Cricetulus griseus: one gene and its partners. The protein of the gene in region 5 interacts with the protein of the main gene of each other region in a pairwise test. Links are inferred from orthologs where the notes say so. Each region holds a gene or a part of one and is shown on either strand. Other genes may lie near its edges.

Region 1 (4,298 bases), on a different chromosome or scaffold from region 5:
TCATAAACCTCTGCAGCCACTGAGCTTTGCTGCTCCCCTTCCCCTAGCTTCTCTTTTCCTATAAATCCCTGCCGTTTTGGCTACTCGCTGTCTTGGTCTCTTGGTTCTCTCTGCACTGTTGTTGGTCTTCTTTTCTCTCTCTCTTCTCTTCCTCTCTTGCTCTGCCCCTCTCTCTTTCCTGTCATGGCTCAGTCTATTCTGCTGGCCATGTTCAGTCTGGCCTCTTCCAGAAGCCCCTGGCTGTGTTTTCCCTTATATCTATAATGAAAACCTCTTCAAATTTCATTTATTTTACATTGTTCGTAAAATTGTAAAATTCAGGTTGTCAATGTTTCCCACGCTGTCCTAGTGTAACCTCTTTATCATTTCCTTAAAACTCCAGAACCAACCAGGGGTGGTGGTGTACGCTTTTAGTCACAGCACTCGAGAGGCAGATCTCTTGGAGTTCGAGGCCAGCCTGGTCTACAGAGGGAGTTTCAGGACAGCCAGAGCTACACAGAGAAACCCTGTCTCCATAAGTCAATAAACAAACAAACATAGATAAATTGAAGGGAGCAGGTAAAAGCACCTCAAATAGATAGATGGTAGGCAGGCAGACAGAAGACAGACCGACAAAGGGAATAGGCAAAAGCACCTTGGCCAGATTTGACTTCAGACTCCATTTTACCTGTAGGGTGAGACAAAGTTCAAGCTGAGAACCTTCCAATATATGACTTACCTCCGTAAACTACAGAACTAGTCATTATGCGTCTCTAGCTCTCTAGAAACATGGCTATTACTAACAACAGAAGGAACAAATAAATTTGATTGCTTGGACTAAAAGCTTGCATTGTATTTGTTGACAGTGATGAATACTCAAGGAAGCCCCTAATCTCTAAATCCTTATTGGTGAAAATTGTAACTGTAACTTGGCAACCAATGTTTGTGATTTTTGTGCTTAAACACTTGCTTCAACTGGCATTTGGGGTGGCCGTTCAGCCCCAGAGTCTTTTCTGTGGCCCGAATGATCCATCAGCCCCCTCTCCTTTCCCCCTTCTTCTTCTTCTTTTTTTTTTTTTTTTTCTTATTTTTTGAGACAGAGCTTCTCTGCCTAGCATTGGAGGCTGTCCTGGAACTCGCTCTGTAACCCAAGCTGGCCTCGAACTCAGATCTGCCGGCTGGGAATGAAAGCGTGCGCCACCACCGCCCGGCTCCTTTTGTGCTGCCCGTGTTAAATCTTGCCTTGAGGTAACCTCTTGTGTCTACCTGGGTTGATTCACACCCTCGGACCACAACAAAATGAATAAATAACTAAACAAATAGATGGCGACCCATCGCTAAGGCTCCTAAGCCGCTGACGCCGCGCTCGGCGGGCCCCAGCTTAGACTCCGGCCCCATCGACCGAGCCCGCCCTCCAGCGCCAGGCCCCGCCCCGCGAGTGCGGAAACGGACGCACAACTCCGGAAGGCGTCGTCACTCAGGCTCCGCCCCTCGGGAGTCCCCACCTGGCTTTAGCCCGGAAGTCCTGGGGACTGAAGTCCGGAAGTTCGGGAGGCTGTCCCCTAGTTCCCTCCCGCTAATTCGGTGCGAGTCGGTTGGTGCCCGCGCAAGTGTGTCCCAAAGCTTTTCTAGTTCCGTCTCGCTGTGCTTCCCGTTCTCATGTTCGTGCCCTGTGCGGGTCACTGTTCGCGGACCTGGATCGGGCGTGTGCACTGTGCGGAGCGAGCATAACGGGCCGCTCGTGGAGCTTGTTGGTAACTGAGGTCAGAGGGAGGCAAGTTGTGTGCCTAACGGGGATTCCAGAGCATGCAGGGCACGATGCTTGATTGCACCTGGGAATCCGAGGAGCCACTCAACACTGGGGCTTTGGGCGTTGTCTCCAGGGGTCTTGCCACAGTGTCCCATTAATTCGGATGCATTTGGGCCATAGTTAGTATGACGGCAGAAACTCAGACACAGGGCACTTTCAGTTCCCTTTCTTGATGGGAAGAGGAGTTTCTGGACGATTCGGCTAAGGTGCCGGAAGCCTGAGAGTTGCTGGAGGCTAACAGAGCAACTTCAAGACGAGGATTCGGTTAAGGAAAGGGTTCCCAGATATGACTGTGGCTTGGAAGTAAGACCAGGCCTCACTTTCTGGGCTGTGTTGTCCCTGTGCCCATGTATAATTGTGAGTTGAGACAGTCTCGTGGATAAAGGCCGCTGTGGACCTTCCCCTGGCCTCCTGTTTAGACTGATGAGGTGCTGCCTGTGTGCAGTGGTTGCAGGCTTCAGCTGTGTGTCTTTCTCAGCCGGGTCTGCTGTGAGGTGAAGCCCAGGTTCCAGAGATGTACATGCAAGTGGAGACACGAACCAGCACCCGCCTCCATCTGACGAGGGCTCCAGGCATCCGGTCTTGGTCCCTGCTGGTCGGTAAGACTTATGTTTTTCCCAAGTCAAATCTTAAGTGATGGGAACAGTTTCTTCGTATTCTATTGGAGGTTCTTGTCAATACAAGACCTTGGTAAAGCATGCTTCATTCACTTTGGTGTGCCTTCCCTTTCAGAGGGCATGCAGGGTCCCCTTAACAGACATGCACTCCCAGCCTGTCTGCTTTCTTGAGGTCACTAGGTTTTCTTCCATGTGACAGGTGATCATGGGTTCACATTTCTCTTCCTCCCTGTCTCCGTCCTCCTGGACTCTGTCCCCCATCACTGCCTACCAGAAGTGTCTTGCATCTCATGAACAGCTGCACTTGTGTTGGCTGGGCTGTTCAGAGTCTGAGGTGAGGTACTGGCTGTGACTTCAGCAGCAGGTTCTCTATAGTCCTTTATGATTCGTGAAGGTCCTCATGACATTCTGCATACTGTGCTCTGTGTTGTATTATCTCTGTGTAGTCTTGTCTTTGCTCCTCATCACAGGTAGGCAATACTGACATCTGGGTCATTGCATTTTTCATTTGATTGCAGACGAGTCTGGTGAATGCCATGGATAGCATAACCTGTTTTTTTTTTATTTAATTTTTTAATTATGTAAGTGTATCTATGTATGGGTCTGTGCAGGTGCATATAGGTGCTGTGGAGTCCAAAATAGTGTTACATCTCTGGCGCTGAAGTCACACGAGGTTGTGAGTGGCCTGCGGGTGCCAAATGTTGGACTTTCTTTGGGCTGTCAGTCCACAAATAACGAAATGGAAATTTATTATGAAAGTTTGGCTTTTAGCTTAGGCTTGTCCCCAACTACCGCCTATAACTTAAACTAACCCGCATCTATTAATCTGTGTTCTGCCATGTGGCTTTTTTTCTATAAATAATTATTTAAGTTTATTTTATGTGCATTGATATAAAGGTGTCAGATTCCCCTGGAACTGGAGTTACAGACAGCTATGAATTGCCATGTGGGTGCTGGGAATTGAACCTGGGTCCTTTGGAAGAGCAGCCAGTGCTCCAACTGCTTGCTTCTCCAGCCCCCATGGCATGTGTTTTTTTCTACATCTCTTCCATTGTGTTTGTCTGACTTGGTCCAAATCTTGTTGAGGTCTCTGAGTGCCTAAATTCATCCCAAGTTCCTTTCGCTGCTCAGAAGTACTGCCTATTCTCTCCTGCATAGCTGTTGGCCATTCAGCTCTTTATTAAACTAGTCACAGTGACACATGTTCACACTATGTGATAAAATGGCCCACAACAGTGCTGAGAACTGAACTGGGTTCCTCTGCAGTAGTATATATTCTTAAACAATAAGCTATCTTTCCAGTCCCCCCCTCCCTATTTTTAAACAAACTTCTTGGCTGTGTCCCCAACCCTGCACTAGGTAGCTTCTACCTGCTGCCCCTGAACAAGCTATCCTGCTGTGAGACAGGCCTGCTTTGGGGGGCTGCAGCACAAGAAGAAGGGGAACTCTCCTTGACAGTTAACAAGATAATCCCTCTCTCCACAGGAATATTATCCACTGGCCTGGCTGCTGCCTATTATAGTGGAGGTAAAGTATGTTTTTCCCATCAGCTTCCTTGTACTTGGAAATAAACAAAAAGCAGAGAGCATTCCTAGTGTGTGTAACCTTTGGGGTGGCCTTTGCCTTGCCTTGTGTGAGAGATGACTATAGTCCATGTCCTGTACCTTAAATTTCTTCCTGTTATAAAGTACTCTCGGAAAGAAGCTCTTTAGTATTTATTTGCCTGCCACTTTGCTACAGGGAAAAATCGTGTGTCTTACCCTCCATGACAAGGTATATAGATCTACCTGTCTCCTAGGTGGACTTAGGCAGAGTTTGGGATACACATGTCACCAACGACCCAGGAAGGTACAGGAACGCAGTTGACTAAGCCTGTAACCTGAGATGAAGGA
Region 2 (4,144 bases), on a different chromosome or scaffold from region 5:
AGACTTTCCATGTGCGAACTACCAAGCTGAAAAGACCAGACTACTGCCTCACCAGCACCTGCCTACTCTAACAACCGCCATGTCAAGAGAAGCAACACTGTCCCTAAGTGCAGCTCCACAGAAGTAGTTCAGATACTAGGTCTCAGGAAAAGCGTACCTTAAGAGCAAAGAACTCTGAAACTCTCCCCAAGTAAACTTGTTTAACAGAGTGTGGACAAGTTCAAGGACAAAAATAATGCTTAAGCAATGGAGGCTTTGGCAGCCAGAGGCTAGTTGCTTATTAAAAGCTAAAAGCTTAATCATGGAGCGGGTAGGCAGATTATCAGAAAACCAGTGAGCAACCAAGCAAGCTAGCCCTGCTGGAATGAAAACAAAGGGAAAAGGAGAAGGAGCCAGACATGGTCTGTAATCCCAGCTCCTGGGAACCAAAGGCGGGAGGATTTCTGAGGGTTGGAGGCCAGCCTGAGCTACATGGTAAGACCCTGCGTCACAACAAAAGACAGGAAGAAACATGGGACCTGGGCGGGGTTGACTTTGACTTGCAGTTGAAAATGGCAAAATGGTTGCACATTTATTTTTTTCTTCCCAAAACCTCACTAAAATGTCACTTTCTTTTAAAAGCAAAAGGCTAAAAGGACAATGGGAAGGAGGCCAGCTTTGAACTTCCCAACAATAGGGAAGGTAGAGAGCAGGGAATCCAGCCTCAACACTGTATAGGAAAATTCGTTTAACCAAAAATGCTATGCTTTATTCAACTTTGAACAAGATTAAGAATAAAATAAAGATATCAGTTTGGCAAACTCTTTTAAAAAAATTACCTTTAGTGTTCCTCGTTTCTCAAGAAATCACCAGAGATTAATTCTAACAAAAGTGAATAAGCCAAGGAGGAGAAAAGCTTTTGAGCAGAAAAATAAGAAATCTAACCTAGCACAGAGGCAAAGGGAATCCCTAGGATGAAGTAAAACTCCAGTTGGGGGCAGCGTGCCATAGCAAAAGAAAGGGAAACCCAAGAATTTAGCATTATCGGGGAGCGGTCTACTGTCTTTCCCAAGCTTGCCCAATTCCAAAGTTCCCGCGATCACCCGAGGAAAGAAGGCCAAGAGTACACTCCCTGCGATTTCAAAACTGAAAGCTTTCTTTTTCTTTTAGTTCGAAATGGGATCGCACTGTTGCTGTTGCTGCACAACTGTTGAGCGTTACATCGCTAATGGCAAAGTTTCCAGCCCAGAAAAGTCACCTTCCAAATGAATGAGGGGACCCAGGTCCCACCTGCTGCGCTGGCTGGGAGGTTGGTCACATGATTAAGGTCGGGGCCTAGAAAGATTGCAGGTCGTGTTTATCGGAGTCACATCCCCTGGAGCTCAGGAAGCTGGCGTCCAGGCTCCCCTCGGAAGCGACCGTGTGGGACAATCACGACCCTCACCTGGCACACTGATCGGGTGGTTTGGGTCACGTGTCCCGGTCAGCAACAAGAAGTTGTTTACGCTCTTGGTTTCTGAAAAGTCATAAGACACAGGCAAGTTAAAAAAACGAAAGTGAAATCAGCTGATAGTGACATCAGTCAGCACTAAAGTACCAAAGTTCAGAGAGTTGTTTACTTGGACACCGCTGCGCTGCGCTGCCCTGCGCTGCGCAGGCCGGGCTCTAGCTGCTTGCAGCTTCTCCTCTGCCCTAGTTCCTGGAGCGCAGGAGCGAATCCACTCCCCGAAGCCGATTTCCTGTGTCAGCTTTTGATGAGTGCTCGGTGGGCTCTGTCTGGCCTTGGTTTTCGTAAGTAGCAACCCAGGCTCACACGCTTGAGATTCTAGCAACACGCAAAGGGAAAAGTCTTGCTTGGTGGCCTCCCCGCTCCCCGGGGTGCGATCTACACTTTCACCTCTGTCCCACCCCATGCTCCCAAGCATCGCTGTGTCTGCCGCAAAGACCATGGAGGAGGTAACGCTGGTGGATGGTTAGAAACACTCAGGCTGACTGCGTGTAGCCGGGGCTTTGCACAGCCTGGACCGGTAAATATCTGTGGCTCCAGGACACGCTGTTCTCCAGAAACAGACAGACAGACAGACAGACAGACAGACAGACAGACAGACAGACAGACAGACAGAGACAAAACCAGGTCACTACAGCAGCAACTAAACTGATGCCAAGACTTCAGAAAATGCCAAGGAAAGGTCCGTGATCTTGGCTAAAAAGGAAGTGTAGGGTCTAAGAGACTTTAAGACTCTGTGTTGTTACAGACTCCTTTTCAACCCCCAAAGCAAACTCATGCGGTGGGGGTGGAGGGCTGGAGGCTGTCCCTTGGAACAGATCTTGAGAGTTTGGGTTTTTGTTTTTGTTTTTGTTTTTTAAATTTGGGATGATTAATACCTTCCATTATACTTCTTTAATCTGTAAAATCAAAGGAGTTGTTCAACAAGGAATGAAGAGAAAACGGGGAGGGGGGAGTCTTTCTTTTCTTCAGGACAACTGAAGCAAGCACATTTTCAGTATCTTCTTCCTCTACCGGGTCTTTTAAGCTCGGATCTGAGATTTGGTAGCTGGAATATTATTTCACTCATACCCTTTTCTAAACTTATTATTTTGGTTCCCTCATTATTGAGTTACTAAGGCTACGGTGGCTTGTTTTATAAATGTCCCTTTTTCACAAACAGCACATAATTTGGGGACTATTTTAGTGTAGCCGTCACCCAGAAATACCAAAGGTTGCCAGCATTGGAACTTTAATTCCTCAGTCCCGGCTCCTGGGCGTCTTTCGCACCACATCTGTTGGCCTTCCTAAGAGCTGCATGCTGCTTCATCACCCCGACGTGCGATAACTGACGTCTGATGTTGGGAATTCAAGTTTTGTGCAGAGTGTTGGGATAACCCATCCTGTGTATAAATCAGGGGTTACATTCCAGATACTGGCTTGAGATAAGGCTAAAACAGTGGGTTATTAGGTCAAAATACATACTTCAAATTCAGAGTCACCATGTTAGAAAGTCTGTCTTGCCATTTGGAATGTCACCAAGAGTGTTATCTATAGTTTTTAGCAAGAAAGACAGAGGTTGTTACTTGGCATTCCTTGGCAGCATTAGGAAAGGTGTTTTTTTTTTTTTTTTTTTTCATGTTAGCTACAATCTCTTGTGAAGTACCTGTATTCCCTCATCCACTTTATGCCATGCAGTGTTGTTTTTTTTTTTTAATGTTTGCATGAACATTTCCATACATTCGGCCGATTAATCGCCTCATAGTTATTGCAGATTCTTTCCATGCTCTTTGTCTTTAATTGTGTATTGCTTTTATTACAGGTGCACAGAAATCTCCACTTTAAATGACTCACTCTGTAATTTTCCTTGCAGTTTTGATTTGCTTTTAAGTTCAGAATGTGTTTTCTCATTCAGAAATCAAAGTTTCTTTTTTTCTAGATTTCATTTCACATGGGTTCATTCTTGAATCCATGTGAACTTGATTTTGTCGTATGGCATGACATGATGTCCTGAGATGGTTTGGGGTTTCTTGTTTTCTTTTTTGGACTTGTTAATAATCAGCCACTGTAACATTAGTTAATGGAAGGCTCTTCCAGGCCTCCTTCAAACCTAGTATCTCTGGTGCATATGGCTCTCCTGACCCTCTCATAGGGAACAATTACCTGTGGTTTCTCTTCCTCACTTTGCCCTGTTTATTTCCTTCCCAAAGCTTCTCCAAATCATCTCCTTAAAAATCTATGTGGTGTATGTCTTATGAGCACAGGTTTGTGGGGTGGGGAGGGGGTATTTGTTTTTCCAGTGTGTCTTTGGTCCTTCAGACCCCTGGCTCAAGGACCTCCCAAATGCATCATTAGTGGGGTCAAGGGATGAAATTTTAGCCTGGGAAAGGGGGTGGCCCATCTCATAATTGCAGGGAAGAGTGGCAGAGCTCAAAAATCAGAACCAGGTCCTGGGAAGCCTGGTCCCCAGCCCATGCATGAATCAGCAGTTGATAAGCCTGCTGGGAGGCCTGCCAATGCAAAGTGATGGAGACGGGCGCTCATCGTTAAGGATGGTTTTCTACCTCCAAAGTTTGTTCCCTGCTGGCTCATACCCAATGCTAATAAGCCAACAAAACAGTGGGACAAATAACAAGTAATATTAAATGAGCCTTTTAGTCAGCTGCTTCAGTGGTTTGC
Region 3 (3,500 bases), on a different chromosome or scaffold from region 5:
AACTCCAGCTCCAGGGGTCCAGTGCCACTTGGCTTCCCAGAACCTGTACCCATGTGAACATAACTACCTGCAGATGAGCATCTACACACACTTAAAATAATGAAAATAAATATCTCTTCTTTCCTTTTTTTTTTTTTTTTTAAAGAAACCTTTCTCTTTGGGGTAACATTCTTTGGGGGAGCCAGTATTTGCTTCAAATTCACCAGTATTTGATAGTAACCTCTTCCTTTCCCTAGAACCTCCAAACATGGATGGGAAAAATATCTGTGGGCTTGTTCTGAGTCCAGCAAATTACAAATGTTTTCCCAAATGTTTGCTACTAATAATAGCAGAGTTCAAAGGTAGACATAGGATGGATTAGTAGGATTATTACTTTTCGAGAACACGAGGCACTTCACGTTAAAACTGTGTGAAGTGGTTATACTGATCTTCAGAGGATTCTGACTTTCAGGCAGAAATTGAAACCAACTCAGGGCTTTGAGATAGTTGTCCTGTCAAAACATGGGATGCTAACATCCTTCAAATCTCAGTGGAATCTCAATCACAGACAAGTTTCCCACCATAATGAAACAGCATGCAAACACAACAGCCCACTTAAATATGGCCGGCATGTAGTAAGATGGAGCAAAACAAAATGGAAATGCAAACGGTGCCATAGTTAGTCCTCTCTGCAATGGGTTCAGCTGCAGCAGCAGGAGCACAGGGTAAGTCACACATACCTCCTCCCCACATGTCAAAATATTTGGTGTCTAGTACCTCCCCTGTTTTTCCTGAAAGAGACAGAATACGACATATTAAATCATACAACTGAAATATCAGCATAGCAACGAGTGACACGCACTCATCAGCAGAAGGAACTGCTTCTGGAACTTATGCTCTGACTCATACACAGAGCTGTGCACCACTGACTTCAGATCAGTTCTGTGCCACAGGTCACTGCAACTTGCGATCATCAGCCCGTAAGAATTACCAAACCATAACCTCTACAGCAAAGAAATCGTCTACTTAAATCAGAACAACCATCTATAATAAACCTTCTCCTTCCTCCCCCCTCCCCTGAATAAAATTGACACTTATTTTATCTTTAAGAACCATTAAACAGAAGAATAGACATTAAAGGTTTTACTTGGGAAAAAGGAAGTACCAAGTCATATGACTACCACCTATGAATGGAGCAAAGAGAGCTTCTCTCTGCTGGGGGTTGGCTGAGCTGCTGGCAGATTTGACTCCCCTGGGGAAGGTACAGGAAACATGTATCTGGAGAGGCACAAGCGGTGCATAAGCTCTTTGTGGTCGGGATACTTAAGATTTACTTTTCTAACACTCACTACATCCAGGACTCAGTGAACTTATCGGCTCAAATGAAGCTCTGAGTACAGCATGGATAGTATTGAGAATGTACAACAAATCATGACACACCCTTAATCTTGTCTACTTGTCTTCATATGAAGTATGAATTCTGAAAGATGCAGCAAGACTGCTTCCATTTTGTGTCAAATTGGTGCTTGTAATTTCACAAGAAACTCGCCCGCCACACAATGCACATGGCTGCAATCCGCCCAAGAATACATGCTACCAAAAAGTAGATTCAGAGTCTCCATCTGTGGTGGTTTGGACAAGAGGGTATCCTTGTTGGGACAGCTTCATTATTGAGTGGTGCTTTCTACTCTGATGCCAAGGACAAATTTTAGTGTGGAGCATAAGTATACCCATTGATTACACTGGTCAAGTACAATGATTATTCTTACCATTTACCAAGGCAACATTGATTCCTCTTCCAACATTGTTCTTAACACCACTCATCAAACTAAAGGGAAAGAAGTCAAGACAAACTCTTAAAATTAGATAGTATATGGAAACACGTCACAGAAATACAATGTAAAAAAGGGTATCATACACATATCAAACACTCAACTCAGCAAATTAAAAGCTTACTACATCAAAGACAGACTTACGTTGAGTCTACTATAATGTCAACTCAAATAACTTCATGCTATTAAAAAAAATACACACAAAGGTACAAGGGTGCTGGAGAGATAGTTCTGTGGTTAAGAACATGTACTACTCCTTATCCAGAGGACCAACACTCAAGTCAGGAGACTCACAACCTCCTCCAACTCCAGGGGATCTGTTGCCTCTGGTGGCCATCCATACCTGCACCCATGTGCACTTACCCAGACACACACAAATTAAAGTAAATTCATTAAAATAAAAATATTATGGCTCAAATGCCACTGAGTTACTGCTCTCTCATACTGTGCAGTGCCACCACAGCCTATCCTTTAGGATATGGGCATCACAAGACTCAATCTCCAGCACCGTCACGAAGCCAAAGAACACGCCCTCTCTTCTCCATCTCCCACAGGGTCACTGTGGTACCGTGACATGCAATGGAGTCATAGTCTATCCAGACATTTTAAAATCCTAAACTAGAGGAGTAACGGAGCACTGTCCTGCCCGTGTTACTTCACTGTGACTAGTAACATAGGTTTTCTCTGTACTCAAAAGGAACGCTGTACTTGCCAATTACCTCAGCACAGGCATTGATGGGCTGCCCAGATAACCAGCGTGGCTGCAGCTTACAGATGGCAGTGTCAGATGACAGTGTGGGATGGAGGGCACGGTGGCACACGGGCTTGCTACCAGTTTATTTCATTGAATATTAAGTCAAAGTTTTTAGCTAATGTTACATCCATAGAATTCAAGGTATTAGCAACTTCCCCAGGAGTGTGTTGGAAGAGGGGCACTGTGCTCACATTAGCATACTGCAAATCTCCCTGATAGAATGTGTAGCACACACATTTTGCAAATGAAATGTAGACTACTTCATCACACCTTCCTCAGAGTCAACTGATTCTCACAGAAGGTGCCAAATGCTTTCCACCCAACTCATATCTGTAACTGAACTATGGTTGCAGGGAATATAATTCTAACAATTACTGAATGACATACTCATTTATGGGAATGGTAAGGCAAAGGAAAATCTAAAATAATGACAAGCTTCATTTATCTGGTGATGAGAATGTCTTTACTAAGTCAAATAAATTTTCAATGCTGGCCAGTTACTTTCTCGTTCTGTTGTTTACAGTATAATGACTACAAACCAAACAATGTCATGGAATGCATCCAGGTCCCATCTACATAAAAAACATTTCCCCCTCTTTTTCATGAGTCTAGGTCTTAGTTTCAAACCTTTCTATTAAGGGACAGTAATCACTAAAAAGTTTCTATAAAGGGGTCTACAAAGGGATGCACTCAAAAACAGTAAATCAAAAGAAACTTCTTAAAATGTTTTTATTTACAAATAAGTATTAGTGAATTTCCTTATTACATTTTTGCATGTGTTTAGAATGTATTTTGTCATCTAACTCTTTACCCTTTCTCACCGCCTCCCCACTCCTGCTCCCCCCTTCTCAGTTACTCCTCTCAAACAGAACTTTAAAAGATGATCATAAAATTCAAAGTAAACTGGGCAGTGGTGTCACACACCATTAATCCCA
Region 4 (4,201 bases), on a different chromosome or scaffold from region 5:
TTTGTTTGGTCTCACACTGACCCTGAGTTCTCTCAGTGTAAATACAGAACAACCAAGGCACATTTTCTAGACTCTTCAGAAGGAATCTCTGTGTCTGCCCTTCTACAAGCCTTCCCACAGCCAGCTTCCCTAGTGGCAGAGCACAATTCACTGTTTCTCTAACCATCTCTGTCATGGAACAAGTGTCATCACAATTATATGTCATTTGTTTTTTTATTTAGCAACAATTTGAAACCCTAAACATTTTACTCATTGCCCTGAGTTTTGACCACTAGACTCTCGGTGAAGAGCAAGAAAGAATCCCTTCCCCACATTGCAGTCCTGCAGATGCTCCATCACACAGCACCAGGGCAAGGCAATGCATCACATGCTCTAAGTGTGGCTAAGGCATCTCAAGTGACACAAAGTAAGCTAATCACTGAATGTGTTTCCGGAAGCTGACAAAACCTCCAGTATGGATGGATGTGTTTCACTTCCCCCTACCCTGTAGCTGTGTTCACTCACATCCCCTCTGCCTCTGCTGGCCACGTCTTTCTTCTCCTAGTGCTCACTTGCCTTGCTCTTTAGACACAGGTTTCTATTCCTGTACAAAGTAACTAAACAACCCGATTAGGAAAACTGGTTTTGCTAATTCCATGGCGTGTTGGGAAGGAGACATAATTCAATTACCTAATTGACTAAACAAATAAAGAAATACAGCAGTCGGGCAATGAAGTAAGTAGCTGTTCTGATTTTATGCAAAAAAAAAAAAAAAAAAAAACCCAGGCCTGAATTCAACATTATTCAATTAGGCCATCAAATTACTTTTGTATTGAGGAAAACAAGCCCTTCTGGATCAGCCTGTGTTTCAGGCTTTCTGTGAACTAGACCAAAGAAGAGCCAGGCAGATCACTCAGGGCTTGGGAGGCATAGCGTTAATCAGGATGTTAGTGTAGTGGATTATGAGAGTGATTTATGTAATGCCTGGGGGAATACTTCTTCATTTGGCCAGGGACATGGTGATATTAAAGGGACAGTGTTACACACTGCCTGTCCCAGCCTTCTCTCTGGTTGCAACAACTTGAGCGTCTTGTCTGTGCTGGTGGATTATTAACAGAGGTTATTGGTCGCCATGGCAAAACAATTGAGCGATTGCATAGAACGTAATCTCATTTATGGGGGTGCAAAAAAAAAGACATAGGGTCAGGGATATAAATGCCCATCGCCACCGAGGGCCTGCAGTAGTTGAGAAGTGAATCAACTCCAAGGACACCATTCCAAAAGCTCTGACACTTGGTCCTAAATTTCTTATTTTAAATTTCTTATTTTAGCTACTGGGACTCACTGCCAAATCGCTGAGAAGACCCGTTAAGCAGGTGGTGAGAAGTCTTTGATCTCAGTGCTTTCCTGTGCCACCCCATCATGTGCACTGGGGGCTGTGCCAAGTGCCTGGGGGGCACTCTCATTCCCCTGGCTGTGTTTGGCCTCCTGGCGAATATCCTGTTGTTCTTTCCCGGAGGGAAGGTGATAGATGACAACAGCCACCTTTCCGAAGAGGTCTGGTACTTCGGAGGAATAGCGGGAAGCGGAGTCTTGGTGAGTAGAGACACCTTAATATTCCCTTAAAAGATAATTCCCCTGCTCCCATCCTCTTTCATTCGCTTCTTAGTACACGGATGCCATTCAGGAGCTAACAACCTTTACATACTGAAAAGTAGTGCCTTAGTTAGTATACTTCCCCTTCGTATTAGTGGCTGGGGACATCTTGGTTTACTAAGCAGTTCATCCCCCAAGCTTGGGCTGGAATCACCATAGGATATTTGAGCTCAGAGAATCAAGCTAACAGCCACTCAATCGCTTTACTCCAATAAAATCGTGCCGATAAGAATTATAAACGAAACACAGTGCTTTATCCAAATAGACGAGTTAGAATGCAGAGGTACAGAAGCTGTGGATTAGCTCTCATTCAGGAACTCACCATTTCGTTACCCCTTGTTTCCAATATGGGCGGGACCTTCAGGTTGTAGTATGACACTATGTCTCTTTTCTTTGCCCTAACCCACCCTTTAGATGACAACTAGGGATGCCAACTCTTAAAATCTCCTCACAGACATTGGTCAGTCAGGCCAAATGGAGCCCCCATACTCAAAACATGACCTACGAGTCACGCTAGCTGTTAGGTCTTGCCTGCCCACCTAAGCCTCTGAGACCTGAGGTCTTCATTGGCCAGGAAAAAACAAAAACAAAAACAAAAAAACTGTGGGCTTCCCTTCAACCCCAGACACTCTGAGCACATCTTCTCTTGCTGGCAGATGATCTTCCCCGCACTGGTGTTCCTGGGCCTGAAAAACAATGACTGCTGTGGATGCTGTGGCAACCCAAGCTGTGGGAAGCGATTTGCGGTGAGTTGTCATGGGGTCAGTGGCCAGAATTACTCTGGAGTTCACAGCTGGCTTGTGCTGGGCAGCATGGGTGTGCTGAACAAGCAACCAGCTCCAAGCCAGACTCTTGGGACATCGACTACATGATTAAGCTCTGATTCTCGCTGGTGCAGAATAAAAAGATTAAATATATTAAATTCTACAACCTTCATACTTAGAGGTATAGAGATATTTCAGTTTTACAAGTCCACTGCGATGACAAAGCTTTAGAACTGGGGTGACATGACACCACACAGAGCAGGCAGAGGTGGGGCCACACACTTCCCTCTGTCACTAAGAAGCAATGAGAACTTGAACAAATGGTATCTTTCTGCTGGCTCTGAATTGTCTCATCATTAAAGGAGACCTGGGGCAGGATAAAAGATGCTATCTCCCCTCCCTAATAGCTCACTAAACTCCTGTCTTTACCACAGCCAAGGGCACTATTTCTGGAGGCCCAGCATTTCCCACTGCCACCCAGAATCTGCCTCAGGATTTCAGCTTCCTCTCCTGTTTCATGAGGCCATCCATCTTTTAGTTAGTGAACTGGAGACTAGGGAGGCATTGATGTTCCCAGGGGAGCAGAAGGAATGCTGGCATGTAGGTCAGGTCCCATTTCTGCAACTGGGCAAGTCACCAAGTGTAAGATAAGGGAGTTGGACTGGATCAGAATTCCCTAGTTATGGGCCAAACCCTGCTGTATAGATACGTGTGTCCAACAACAAAGAATGTTTTCTTTAACTTATCCTCCTGTTGTTTTTATTCTATGAAGGAAAAAAAATCCTTATTTTGATGGGGATAAGTCTGCTGTTTCTAAACCTTCAAGCCTTCCTTCTGAAAAAGGAAGAACCCAAGGCTCTAAGAACACAAGCAACATTAGGTGACTAAAACTTAATAACACTATGTTCATGTTTGCTAACAATTTCAGCTTTTCTTTCAAAATAGTGATATAGATAAATAAAACACTTGGCTCAAAAAATATTAAGCATTTAGGTATATGATGAGACAAACATATGATGAGTGTAAACCCTGGGTTCGATGATGAGTAGCTAAGATGATGAGAAAGCTGGAGCTTTCCTGCACCAGCTAAGCCTGCTTTAAATTCTTGTCTGTCCATTCTTAAACAGAACTACCTTGATGTTTCTTTCTTGCCATCATCTGCCCATTTATTTAAGAAAGAAGGTATTTACCAAGTACACACAGAAGGCCACTGTGCTCTGTGCATAATACACTGAGGCTTTTTTTGTATGACATCTTATCACTTATAGAATATCTCTTGTAAAAAGCATCGTAAGTACTAAAAATTGTCATTTCAGCATTTTTACACAAAGAGTAAAAATAGCAACAACACATTTGATATAATTGTGTCAAATGTTGTATATACTTGGCAATATTTTCGTATGATTGACTATAAAGGAAGTGCATTTTCCCATCAGATCATTTACAAATAAGTTAGCGATGGCGGCTTGAAAAAATAGCAATTAAGGAATTTGGATGAAAATATAAAAATCATATCTTAGAAATCTATGTATGCATTTCTAATGCTGGGCAAAACTAGACAATGACTGACTATTACACAATAAGCAGACAGGCAGGTGCTCAGGCTTGCTTGTGGGTTTCTAGGTTTCTCTGTCACTAAAGTAAAAAGTGAAACTGTTCAAAGTATTATACAAAATGTTAATTTCATTTGATTTAAATGAAGTACACAGTACAGCAAGAAAGTCATGTTGTTCCCGGTGCAGTTGAACAAGCATGTTCTGAAACATTTGGTCTGGTCAATATATATCGCCACCCAGGGCTCC
Region 5 (3,968 bases):
TTCCCCATTCTGACATTTCATCTCTTTCATAGCAGACACCCATACTAATCCAGCTTTTAATTTTAGGCCTAAATCCCTCAACTTTTACCCTAAATACTGACTCCTAATCCTAAAGCTCATTTTTTACTTGCTTTTAATTCACCTTTTCACTGTTTATTCTTAATACTAACCCTGACAATGGCCTTTAGTACCTAAACGGGCTTCTAAGCCAATTCCTGTGGTTGATCCTTAACCTGATTCGGTATCCTGATCATGCTGATCCCTCCAGAAAACAAAATAATGACCTCAAACTAAATGTCACCTACACGAAACAGACTTGACTAAAGCAGCTAATGTTTAAAATTTACTCGAGCTTCGTAACCTCTGAAGGGATCCTCACTTCCTAAACCCGACCGCACCTAATCCCAAACTCACCCAAAGCTTTCCTAACCACATACTCACTATCTGCTAACACCAAAGGCCATCCCCGCCCAGTGCCTCAATGCCACCCCATTCCTCACCCTCCCCCCCAAACCTAGTCGAGGGAGAGAACAGCCTGCTCCCACGAAAGGGGCCTGCCTCGCGACACACGGCTAGCTTAATTCCAAACCCAAAACGAAACGCATTGGACGCTGACCTCCCCAACAGGACCGGACACAGGATATGCAGGAGGATCGGGGGCCCCGCCCGCCGCTTCCCGGGCTGGCCTGGCCCCGCAGCCCCACCTAGAAGCTCCGGCCCGGCCCGCCTGGCCTACCTGCGCTGCCCGGCTCTGCGCCCCGCCCGCCGGCCCGCTACCCGCTCGTTCTCCGGGTGGCTCTGGGGCTCCGGCCTCGCCCTCCCTTCGACACTCTGGTCCACTTCCGTCCTGGAAATGTCTCCCACCCGCCGGCGGCGCCCTGGGCCCGCGCTCTATGGTCGCAAAGACTTCAGGAAGCTGCTCTAGCCGCAGGTCTCGATGCTCGGGCGCCCGCAAAGCCTGGCCGCCCCTCCCCGGCAGGAAGCGAGGGTGCGGCGCGCTGGAGAGATCGCCCGAACCAAGCTGGTGTTCCCTTTTAGACTCTTCCTTTTTCTAGCTCGCGGCGAAGGCGGAGCCGGGTCCCTAGAATCCCCGCCCTGGGGTGTGGGAAGCTGTAGGGACGTCCCTATAATTTGCATAGCCCCCGGGACGTGGCGCAGCACACGAGCCACTTCCGAGTTGGAAGGAACTCCAAGTCCCAGGATGCCTTGGGGCTATGTGCATCACTTCCGTTGTGTTGGAAGCTGAGTAGAACAGAAGCTGGGAGGTGGCTGTGGTTTTAGTGTGACCGCAGGCCTTCAGCCTTGTAGCCCGGAGTAGAGTGACTAAGGTAAGTCGAGCCGATTTGACAGTCAGACCGAGGGGTCGTGTCTAAGGTTCGGAGATTGCATCTGTGTACAGGGATTTCTATCTATAGATATCCCAAATGGATCCTGGTGGTCAGGACCTTCTAGCTTTGGATCCTGGTGATCAGGACCTGCTGGGCTTCCTGCTAGAGGAAAACGGAGATTTGTGGGCTGCGACCGAGCAGGATGTGGAGGCTCCGCTGGACTTGGAGCTGCCGCCTTCCGAGGTGGGTGGGCGTTCTGAGTGGGGAAGCTAAGCGACGTCCGTGAGACCCAAGGGTACAAAGATAAATCAAGGCCTGTGAATTTGTTAGAACTCTGTGCAAGCACTGAGCGACTGGGAGGTAGAGGATTTACTGAGCTCTCTGCTCAGTCCCTCGGCATCGCTGGATGTTCTCAGCTCCTCCATCTCTTCTATTCGACATGACCACAACTACTCCCTCCCACAGGAACATGTGTCCATAGATCTAGGTGAGTGTGGAATGTTAAGTTATGGGGGAGGAAAGAGCTCACTGGCCTAGCTAGCCCTACTTTTTTCTCCCTACTTTGCAGATATTGGGAGCTTTGAAAAGGAGGGGTTCCGCGTGACTCCAATGCCTGTGGGGGATACAGTTACAGAGCAGGTACTGGACTTGAGTTTTCAGGATTATCCCACCTTTCTCGACTGAGGCCAAGGTTCCTCCCATTCTGCTCCCACATCCCCATGCAACTTTTGCTCTCCACTATTTCCTACAACCTTAGGAGATTTCTAGGCTGATGCTGACTGAGGAAGAGAAGAAGCTCTTGGAGAAGGAGGGGCTTAGTCTGCCCTCAGCACTTCCTCTCACAAAGGTAAGGTTCCTATTGGTGGAGTAAAAGCTGGAGGGGCAGCCTGGCCCCTTCCAGCACTTGGGAGGCAGAGGCAGGTGGATCTCTGAGTTCCAGGACAGCCAAGGCTGCACAGAGAAACCCTGTCTCAAAAAACAAACAAAACAAACAAACAAAAACAAGCAAGCAAACAACAATGACAACAACAACAACAAAACTAGAGGGGGATTACATGACCCAAGTAGGCAAATTCAGTTTATTTCATCTCAATAACTTGAAAAAGGACTGAGGTCAGAATCTAATCTAAGCACACTTGCTGCTATTGGGAAGCTGGGGCAGGTAGATAAATAGGCTAGATTCTAGGGCAGTTCTTGACCCTGTAGGGCTTACCTAAATTGTGGTGTTCCTTTCAAAATTACCAGTGTGTGGCTTAGTTGGGAAAGGCCCTGCTGCCAGGTCTATCCCCAGGACTCACATGATGGAAAGAGAGAACTGACTCCTACGAGCTTTCTGATCTCCAAACAAGCCCACACCCACATACAAAAATATAATTTTTGAATATCAACTAACATGAGAATAGAGCCTTGAGAAGGACGACAAATGGAGGGCTCTTACAGATTTCATTGTGGTCGTGGTACTCCATATCTTGCTCACGGTAGAGTTTGGGAGGCTGAACCAGTCTAACAATAACAGTTGTCAAAGCTGGGCATGGTGGCTCACACCTCCACAGTCCTAGCACTCTGGATGCAGAGGCAGAAAGGTCCTCACGAGTTCAAAGCTACTTCCTGAGTGCTGGGCTTACAGGCATATACTACTACATCTAGCTTTTATGGTAAACATTTTTATGTCATTTGCCTTTTTAATGTTTTCATGGTATCTTTTGTTATGTAGATGTTTATTTAGGGCAGGAGAATCAGGAGTTAAAAGGCCAGACTTAGCGTCATGCCAAGTTTAGGCAAGCAGAGGCTACGTGAGACACTGTCTCCTATCCCTCTGCCACCATTACAAGATGAGTGAGCGATACAGTAGTTTTAGTAGGAAGGAAAATAGAATTTGGAAATTATCATCAGTGGTGCTGTCCCTAGTACAGTAACTGTCTTTTCCTCCTTAGTCCCCCACCCATTGAGATTTGAATAAAGTGCTCTAACACTGAGCTACAGCCTGCAGCCCTGTTTGTTGAGAAAGGGTCTTGTGAGCCCAGGCTGGGCTGGCCTCAGACTATGTAGTGGGTAAGGAATGCCTTTGAATTGATCCTCCTGCTTTTAACTCCTGAGGACTAGATTACAAGTGAATGACATCATTCTTGGCTAGTGCCTAGGCTGTATCAGAGAATATGAGAATTAACACTTTATTTAGTTTCAATTTCTGAAAAAAAGTTGAAGTGCTTTAAAGTAAAGATATGTTCTATATAGCCTCAAAAATTCTAAGTAAATCCTACCGATAGAAATTATAAGAAAATTGATGTTGATTTTAGGATAAGGATGGATTTTTGTTATTGTTACATAAGACATAGTCTTATGTAGCTCAGGCTGGCCTCAAACTCTAGCCAAGGATGGTCTTGAAGTCCTGATCTCCTCCCTCTCCCCGCCAAGTGTGGAGATTACAGGCATGTGCTACCACACCTAGATTAGGAGGAATTTGTTTTTTAATTAACTAAATTAGAGGCTGGAAAGATGACCTCAGTGGTTTAGAGCACTTTGTACTCTTTCACAAGGCCCAAGTTCAAGTCTCAGCACCCATATGACAGCTCACAACTGTTTGTGACTCCACTTCCAGGAGATCTGACTCCCTCTTCTGACCTATGTGGGCACCAGGCA
Region 6 (3,952 bases), on a different chromosome or scaffold from region 5:
AGGAAACAAAATTCAGAGTTCAGAGGTTCTGAAGTTTGTCTAAATATTTTACTGTCACTTTGAATTATCTTAACAAGAACTTCAGAATATACTCACAGAGACCAGTACTATTTAATGCCCTTTTCAGATATTTTCTGAAAACTCACAGCTCAGAACAAAATCGCTAAGAAACTGAACCTTCCCTGTGGCGAAGACCTCTTACTGTTACATTAACATATAGCTTAAGACAGGGAGCCCCTGGTTTGCACCAGGGCAATGCTGGAGTAATACCGGTGTTACTGGGTTCAGGCTGCCAATGTGAACATTGGCTACAGCATGATTCTGGTAACCAACATCTGGGTTCTAATTCTTACTAGTTAATTTGTAGTTGCTAGCTAAATACTTTCCCTTTAAAAGTTTAAAATCCATTTATCAACCGCATAGGCTATATTAGGGATCTAGGGGAGCCACAGAAAACGCTCCTGTCAGCTAAAAGAGCTTCCAAAAAATCAAGTGCGAGAATAGCATACTCCTGAATTCTATCTTCAGCAACAAACACTAAGACAAGAAATTTATAATACTTTGGATGATCTTACTTGCAAAAATTATATCCATTTCCATTTTTTTGGCGTGTGTGTGTGCAAGGTCTCATTGGGTAGCTCTGGAACAGGCTACATCGATCAGATCCACCTGTCTCTGTCTTCTCACTTGTCATGGGATTTAAAAAGGCCTATGATTTGAACGAGACAAACCAACCAAAGCGATTTCTGAGCTCTGTGCCTAGACAGAATCAGTGCTCCTAATTTACTAACAACCACAGCTTGGCAAGACAACGTGTGCTTGAAGTTCGGGTTTCACCTCTGCTATGATGCCCGCTGTTCAGAGGTCCGCCTGGTCTCTCCACTTGATCTCTAAGCTGAGAACGTCAATTACTGGCCAATATTTACAGCCGGGAGGCGCTGTGGTCCCCCAGTAACGGGTTATCTCCTGCGCGGGCACACGCGGTAGGACGCAAGCGCCCATTGGTTCGTTGTGCTCCCTTCTCCCGCCTCCTCCCGTTGTTGTCCAATGACCGCGTCTAACTCCGCCTATCCCCCCCACCCCCGTCCCGCTGCCCTGCCCCCTGGCGTCTAGGCTTCTGGGCCGAGATGGCGGCGGTGCGCGTGCGCGCTGGCTCACAGCTGCCCGGGAGGAGGAGCGAGCGGCCGCTAGGGAGGCAGCGCATCGGCTCTTCGGGCCAGGGCGGCGGCAGCGGTGCTGGGCGGGCACGGGCTCGGGGCTAGCGGCGCGGCTGCAGGGGCTGTGCGGAGCACTGCGGGGCTGCGAGGCGCTCGGGCCCGCGGAGAGGCCGTGCGCGCTGAGCCCATCTCCACGGCCACCGTGCTGCTCGCCCTGGGTGACATCGTGCCGGGGTCCTCAGCATGACCGAGCTACGGCAGAGGTCTTTCCGCGAGGACGCACCGCCGGAGGACAAGGTAGTGGCGTCGTTAAGTGCGGGGGGCGCGCCGGCAGCCTCGCCCTCTGACCTTTTTTCGGGGCCCTCGGCACCAGGCCGGAGCTGCGCAGGGGGTCGGCGAGCGTTCTCCGCTCGTGGGGACAGCCGCCTGCGGGCGCTACTCGGGCGCGGGGAGTAGCGCGTGAGCTCTGGGGGGTCCACGCCTTCCCTAGGCCTTCCTGGTGTGGAGACTGGACACCCCACAGAGCGGGTGAGTGCGATGTAGCCTCACCTCTCGCTTTAAAAATGCTGCTGTTAAATGGGGAGCGGGGAGGACTCAGGCCATAGCATTTGTCCCCTGGGAGATTAAAATCATCTTTTGAACTTGATTAAAACATTCAATATGTTGGGTTTTTATCAGGGAGGCGTCTTGATTCACGCCACGTGCGGTCCGGTTAATGAGCAGGTGTGTGCTCCCAATGGTGGGTTTGTTTACTGCGCCAAGTGTGAGCTTTGATGGGGTAAAGGAGGAAGGTAAGGAGGAGGCCATTTTGGCAGGGACACAACCAATGTGGGGGCGCTCCTTTGATTGAAAGTGCAAGGTTTGTGTGGAGAAGTTGAGAAAGGTGGAGAGTGGTTGTGTTACTGTGGACGTTGCATGACAGCATTTGCGCTTCTCGACTTAGCAGTTGTCAGGTTCAGTGATGTGCGAACAGACTGAGGGATCCTGGACCAGAGTGGTGGGGACTGGTTAACTCAGGGATTGCCAGCTGATGACCTGCTGATGCTTTTTTTAGGCCCACAAGCTGATACGGAAATAAGGGTTCTTCTGATGGTTTCTAGCTTGTCTTCGGTATTGGAGCATCTGCCTCCTTTCTCTGATTAATAGTTGACAGAGTTTACTATCCTTTTGTTTGTTCGAGACAGTGTTTCTGTGTGTACCCCTGGTGCCCTGGAACTCGCTCCGTAGATCAGGCTGGCCTCGAACCCAGAGATCTGTCTGCCTATGCCTCCCGAATGCAGAGATGAAAGGTGTGGGCAACCATCACCCACTTTACCCCCACTTTTATCCTCTAAACTTTTGTTTGGTTTTAGACAGAATCTCTCTATGAAGCCCTGCTAGCTGGTTTGGACGTCATCCATCTCTGCCTACCCTGTGCTAGAGTTAAAGGCATGAGCCGCACAGCCAGCTTGTACCTTTTGACTGTGTTTAAATTGGTTAGCGGGAACATCAGGAAGGAAATAAGCATAAGCTTTGGTGACAGCATGCCAACAGTAATTTTACTAGGAAGAATGTTTTAGATGAAAGATAGAGGGCTTAAATAACTTTGTTTCTCCTGTAGACAGTGGGTCATCAGAGGAGAACTCTATCCCTTTGGAGAAAGGTTAGGGCTGAGGTCCTGATTTAGGAGTATCTTGCAAAGACAGTACAAATCTCTAATCTTCCCCGTGGGTATGGCCCTGCAGAATGCTGTATTCACCCTGGATACTTGTTGGTGAGTTTGAAGGCTACACTGTGGGTGACCCTGCCTAGTTAAGGGTGACTGCATACTTAAAGTTAGTGGGGGTTCTGGACCAAGGAGGTGGGAGAAGAAAGAATGCCTAGAGGGGTGAGTGTGGTGGTGCGTGAGTTGGTCCCAGTGTTCCAGGAAAGGCAGGGGCAGGTTGATCTGAGCAAGTTCCAGGACAGCCGGGGCTACATAGAGAAACCTTGTTTTTTCTTTTCTTTTTCTATTTTTTTTTAAAGCCTGATAGTTGGTGGACTACAGCTACACACACACACACACACACACACACACACACAGAGTCACACACTGAAAGTTAGCTATACTTAACTAGATAAGACAAAACAACTGTAATGTTAGTAGTGAAGCACTTTTCACACTCCACACCCAGCTTTTTGGCTCCATTCCCCAAACATAAAGTGTCAGTTGATTCTTCCATTCACATCCATATTTTATATAGAGCAGATCTGAGGAGCTGTCCAGCCTTATTAATTACAAGTGCATTTAAACCACATGTGCAATGAAAGAGGCTTGTGGCTGTGAGGTCTGCTAGGAGTATGCTCCCTAAAATATAGCAGTTATGCATGGGAAATACATTTAGGAAACAGCGAGATGCATTATTTTTTATGAATATATGTAGTAGTGTGTGTGTGTGTGTGTGTGTGTGTGTGTTTTGAGACATCGTTTCTCTGTGTAACAGGATGTCCTGGAACTCACTTTGTAGACCAGGCTGACCTCAAACTCACAGAGATCCTCCTGTCTCTGCCTTCCGAGTGCTGGGATTAAAGGCATGCACCACCACTGCCTGGTTTAAAAGAAAAAATAAATCTTAATTTAAAAAAAAAGGTTTGTTTTTATTTATGTTTCTGTGCCTTTTAAGGGAAATGAATTGTGGAATTTGAACTCTGTTACTTCATAGTACAAGAATCCAAAGAACAGTTTTCAGGTCAATTCTTTAAAGAACAATTTTGAAAGATTCCTCAAAATGTTACAGTTGCTAAACTGTGTTTGCAAAACTGTCTTGTTAATAGAC
Region 7 (3,500 bases), on a different chromosome or scaffold from region 5:
GGACATACAACGGCACCCGCCACATCTTTCCTGTCTGTAGGAGTCCACACACTCAGTAGATGCTTGCTGAGCTCCTTGGGCAGCTCCAGTGTGGGAGGTATGGTCACTGTGAACACAACAGCCAACTCTCTGCCCTGACAGGAGTGCGGTCCAGTTTGGTATTTCTCAGGCTATAGATCTTGACCTATTTGAGTCTTAATTTTATTTTTTGAGGTATGGCCTCATACAGCCCAGGCTGTAGTGTAGCTGAGGCTGGCCCTGAGTTCCTGATCCTCCCAAGTGCTGGGAGTACAGGTGTGTGTTGCTGTACCCGGCTCTATTAGTCAGTATGGAAATCGCTGTAGTGAATTGCAAACATGAGTTTTTGTTTTAGAATGGTGTTGGGGGAGGACCTGGGGTTTGTGTGTACTAGGCAAGTGCTCCACCACTGATCAGTGATCACCTGGTCCTATTTGAGGGCTTTGAAATACATTTATTTACATATGTATGTGTAGGGCCCTCCTACCCTGTGGGACCCAAGGATTGAATGCACTCAGGTTGTCCTTTACCCAGTGAGTCATCTTGGTGGCCCTTGAGAACTTTTAATAAGTTGCATTTTACACATAAACAGAATTATTTGATAACTGCATTTATTTATTGTACTTAGAAATAATCTTGTAAAACTCACAGAATTATATCCAAGCAGACTCTAATTTGCTATAGTTTTAACTTTTGAGTTTTGGATTCTTTCCCCAGCCTAGCAATGGGCAGCATGTCCTGCAGTGCTACAGCCCTCATCAGCCACGAGTGTTCTTCACTGTTCTGGGCGGCTCCACTCTCTTGTTCATCAGGTTGTGGGAGTCGAGTGCAATTGCAGCCTCTTCAGGCAATTGCAGCTATTTTCAGGACATAACCCCTTATAAGTCTAGAGGCATCCAAGTATTTGTATTGTACTGGACCGCAATAGAAAATGGTTTGGGTTTGTTTTCATAGCACTGGGGTTCAAACCCAGGGGCTCACCGTTCTAGGAAGCCCTCTGCCACTCAGCTGTATGTCCATTCCTAAAATGGACATCATATAGGGAAGCTTGGAAAGTGCCAGGCTCACACGGTTCACCAAGGGCTGACAGAGGAAAAGGTTAGCATGGCCTGGAGTCCAACTGCGACTGCTGGAATCAGTCCCTGGGCCCTCCTGGGGCTGGGCTCACTAACCCGTGTCCCCACAGCTACCTGGTGGCACACACCCTGGGGCGCCGGATGCTGTACCCAGGCTCTGTGTACCTGCTCCAGAAGGCCCTCATGCCTGTGCTGCTGCAGGGCCAGGCCCGACTGGTGGAAGAGGTGAGGCTTCCTACCTGCCGCTTGCCCTGTCCTCCTAGGGATGTGGCCTCCTGCCCCTCGTGACCTGGTCTTTGCATCTCCCTTACTCAGTGTAATGGGCGCCGGGCAAAACTACTCGCCTGTGATGGTAACGAGATTGACACCATGTTTGTGGACCGGCGGGGGACAGCTGAGCCCCAGGGGCAGAAGCTGGTGAGAAGGGGCAGGGAGCCAAAGGGGGTGGTAGGGGAGGTAGAGACTCTGGAGGTCCTGGTGCTACAGAGCCTTTGCTGTGGAACCACAGTTAAGAATAACTCCCACCCCACACCTCCAAAAAACAGAAGGTGGTGGCGCACGCCTTTAATCCCAGCACTCACAAGGCAGAGGCAGCTGGGTCTCTGAGTTTGAGGCCAGCCTGGTCTATAGAATGATTTCCAGGACAGCCAGGGCTACAGAGAAACCCTGTCTCAAAAAAGGAAAAAGAATAATGCCCTCTCCCAGCTCCACCCAAAGACGTCCTCATAGGAAAGCTGAAAGGAAGCCAGTGGAGGGCAGGGTCATGGGGAGGGCTCTTTCTCTCTCTCTCAGGTGGAGGGCAGGGTCATGGGGAGGGCGCTCTCTCTCTCTCTCAGGTGGAGGGCAGGGTCATGGGGAGGGCGCTCTCTCTCTCTCTCAGGTGGAGGGCAGGGTCATAGGGAGGGCTCTCTCTCTCTCTCTCAGGTGGAGGGCAGGGTCATGGGGAGGGCTCTCTCTCTCTCTCTCAGGTGGAGGGCAGGGTCATGGGGAGGGCGCTCTCTCTCTCTCTCAGGTGGAGGGCAGGGTCATAGGGAGGGCTCTCTCTCTCTCTCTCAGGTGGAGGGCAGGGTCATGGGGAGGGCTCTCTCTCAGGTGGAGGGCAGGGTCATGGGGAGGGCTCTCTCTCAGGTGGAGGGCAGGGTCATGGGGAGGGCTCTCTCTCTCAGGTGGAGGGCAGGGTCATGGGGAGGGCTCTCTCTCTCTCAGGTGGAGGGCAGGGTCATGGGGAGGGCTCTCTCTCAGGTGGAGGGCAGGGTCATGGGAGGGCTCTCTCTCTCTCTCTCAGGTGGAGGGCAGGGTCATGGGGAGGGCTCTCTCTCAGGTGGAGGGCAGGGTCATGGGGAGGGCTCTCTCTCAGGTGGAGGGCAGGGTCATGGGGAGGGCTCTCTCTCAGGTGGAGGGCAGGGTCATGGGGAGGGCTCTCTCTCAGGTGGAGGGCAGGGTCATGGGGAGGGCTCTCTCTCTCAGGTGGAGGGCAGGGTCATGGGGAGGGCTCTCTCTCTCAGGTGGAGGGCAGGGTCATGGGGAGGGCTCTCTCTCTCAGGTGGAGGGCAGGGTCATGGGGAGGGCTCTCTCTCTCTCTCTCAGGTGGAGGGCAGGGTCATGGGGAGGGCTCTCTCTCTCAGGTGGAGGGCAGGGTCATGGGGAGGGCTCTCTCTCTCTCAGGTGGAGGGCAGGGTCATGGGGAGGGCTCTCTTTCTCTCTCAGGTGGAGGGCAGGGTCATGGGGAGGGCTCTCTCAGGTGGAGGGCAGGGTCATGGGGAGGGCTCTCTCAGGTGGAGGGCAGGGTCATGGGGAGGGCTCTCTCTCAGGTGGAGGGCAGGGTCATGGGGAGGCTCTCAGGTGGTAGACTTGCTTAGCATGAATAAAACCCTAGGTTTCATCCCAGCTTCATATATACTGAGACCTGGGGTGCATGCCTGTAATCCCAGCACTCACAGTGGAGGCCGGGGAATCAGGAACTCAAGGCCAGGGCTGGGTGGATGGTTTAGTGGGTGACGTTTTGCCATCTGTGTTCTGATCTCCAGAACATGTATAAACCCTAGCGTGTTGGACGCCTGGGAGGACCCTGGGAAGCTCTCTCCCAGTCTGGCTCATGTAGTAAAGCCACAAACAACAAAAGGACCCTGCCTCAAAGTCGAAGGCAGGAGTAACAATGGAGGTTCTCTCCTGACCTCCACAGGGGTGCCACAGTTCACATGGGCACTCACGCACACGCACACAGAGTTTAGGGTCTCTTCCTTGGCTACACGGTGAGTTGCAGGCTGGGGATAAAGCACTGTGGTGTGTGCACCCCACCCCACTGTCATCCCAGCCCTGAAGAGGCAGAGGATCTGAAGTCTAAGTCAAGGCCTGGCTGGGACACACAAGACCCTGCCCCACAACAAACAGTAGGTGGATGGTGGC

What was found.
Region 1: the proteins of Creb3 (region 5) and cytochrome b-245 chaperone 1 interact in a two-hybrid assay, tested with the Homo sapiens proteins (2 studies listed by BioGRID and IntAct). The two-hybrid records come from large-scale screens. The link is inferred for Cricetulus griseus from reciprocal best matches to the Homo sapiens genes CREB3 and CYBC1.
Region 2: the proteins of Creb3 (region 5) and Tmem140 interact in a two-hybrid assay, tested with the Homo sapiens proteins (2 studies listed by BioGRID and IntAct). The two-hybrid records come from large-scale screens. The link is inferred for Cricetulus griseus from reciprocal best matches to the Homo sapiens genes CREB3 and TMEM140.
Region 3: the proteins of Creb3 (region 5) and Fam3c interact in a two-hybrid assay, tested with the Homo sapiens proteins (2 studies listed by BioGRID and IntAct). The two-hybrid records come from large-scale screens. The link is inferred for Cricetulus griseus from reciprocal best matches to the Homo sapiens genes CREB3 and FAM3C.
Region 4: the proteins of Creb3 (region 5) and Tm4sf4 interact in a two-hybrid assay, tested with the Homo sapiens proteins (2 studies listed by BioGRID and IntAct). The two-hybrid records come from large-scale screens. The link is inferred for Cricetulus griseus from reciprocal best matches to the Homo sapiens genes CREB3 and TM4SF4.
Region 6: the proteins of Creb3 (region 5) and Cds2 interact in a two-hybrid assay, tested with the Homo sapiens proteins (2 studies listed by BioGRID and IntAct). The two-hybrid records come from large-scale screens. The link is inferred for Cricetulus griseus from reciprocal best matches to the Homo sapiens genes CREB3 and CDS2.
Region 7: the proteins of Creb3 (region 5) and Abhd16a interact in a two-hybrid assay, tested with the Homo sapiens proteins (2 studies listed by BioGRID and IntAct). The two-hybrid records come from large-scale screens. The link is inferred for Cricetulus griseus from reciprocal best matches to the Homo sapiens genes CREB3 and ABHD16A.

What each region holds. Positions count from the first base shown.
Region 1 is NC_048600.1:133,705,601-133,709,898, reverse strand, and holds the start of cytochrome b-245 chaperone 1, read left to right. Parts: upstream 1-1,498; 5' UTR 1,499-1,742; exon of another isoform or gene 1,743-1,753; intron 1,754-2,267; 5' UTR 2,268-2,303; coding exon 2,304-2,388; intron 2,389-3,891; coding exon 3,892-3,933; intron 3,934-4,298. UniProt on the Homo sapiens protein: Functions as a chaperone necessary for a stable expression of the CYBA and CYBB subunits of the cytochrome b-245 heterodimer. Controls the phagocyte respiratory burst and is essential for innate immunity.
Region 2 is NW_023276806.1:193,071,926-193,076,069, reverse strand, and holds the start of Tmem140 (transmembrane protein 140), read left to right. Parts: upstream 1-1,344; 5' UTR 1,345-1,516; intron 1,517-1,564; exon of another isoform or gene 1,565-1,770; intron 1,771-1,796; exon of another isoform or gene 1,797-2,006; intron 2,007-4,144.
Region 3 is NW_023276806.1:204,885,848-204,889,347, reverse strand, and holds part of Fam3c (protein FAM3C), read right to left. Parts: intron 1,808-3,500; coding exon 1,749-1,807; intron 771-1,748; coding exon 720-770; intron 1-719. UniProt on the Homo sapiens protein: May be involved in retinal laminar formation. Promotes epithelial to mesenchymal transition.
Region 4 is NW_023276806.1:94,014,721-94,018,921, reverse strand, and holds the start of Tm4sf4 (transmembrane 4 L6 family member 4), read left to right. Parts: upstream 1-1,401; coding exon 1,402-1,575; intron 1,576-2,291; coding exon 2,292-2,381; intron 2,382-4,201. UniProt on the Homo sapiens protein: Regulates the adhesive and proliferative status of intestinal epithelial cells. Can mediate density-dependent cell proliferation.
Region 5 is NC_048595.1:99,953,772-99,957,739, reverse strand, and holds the start of Creb3 (cyclic AMP-responsive element-binding protein 3), read left to right. Parts: upstream 1-1,168; 5' UTR 1,169-1,328; intron 1,329-1,415; 5' UTR 1,416-1,424; coding exon 1,425-1,571; intron 1,572-1,658; coding exon 1,659-1,815; intron 1,816-1,896; coding exon 1,897-1,967; intron 1,968-2,085; coding exon 2,086-2,175; intron 2,176-3,968. UniProt on the Homo sapiens protein: Endoplasmic reticulum (ER)-bound sequence-specific transcription factor that directly binds DNA and activates transcription. Plays a role in the unfolded protein response (UPR), promoting cell survival versus ER stress-induced apoptotic cell death.
Region 6 is NC_048599.1:46,320,216-46,324,167, reverse strand, and holds the start of Cds2 (phosphatidate cytidylyltransferase 2), read left to right. Parts: upstream 1-1,152; 5' UTR 1,153-1,400; coding exon 1,401-1,454; intron 1,455-3,952. UniProt on the Homo sapiens protein: Catalyzes the conversion of phosphatidic acid (PA) to CDP-diacylglycerol (CDP-DAG), an essential intermediate in the synthesis of phosphatidylglycerol, cardiolipin and phosphatidylinositol.
Region 7 is NW_023276806.1:231,619,161-231,622,660, forward strand, and holds part of Abhd16a (phosphatidylserine lipase ABHD16A), read left to right. Parts: intron 1-1,204; coding exon 1,205-1,319; intron 1,320-1,409; coding exon 1,410-1,511; intron 1,512-3,500. UniProt on the Homo sapiens protein: Phosphatidylserine (PS) lipase that mediates the hydrolysis of phosphatidylserine to generate lysophosphatidylserine (LPS). LPS constitutes a class of signaling lipids that regulates immunological and neurological processes.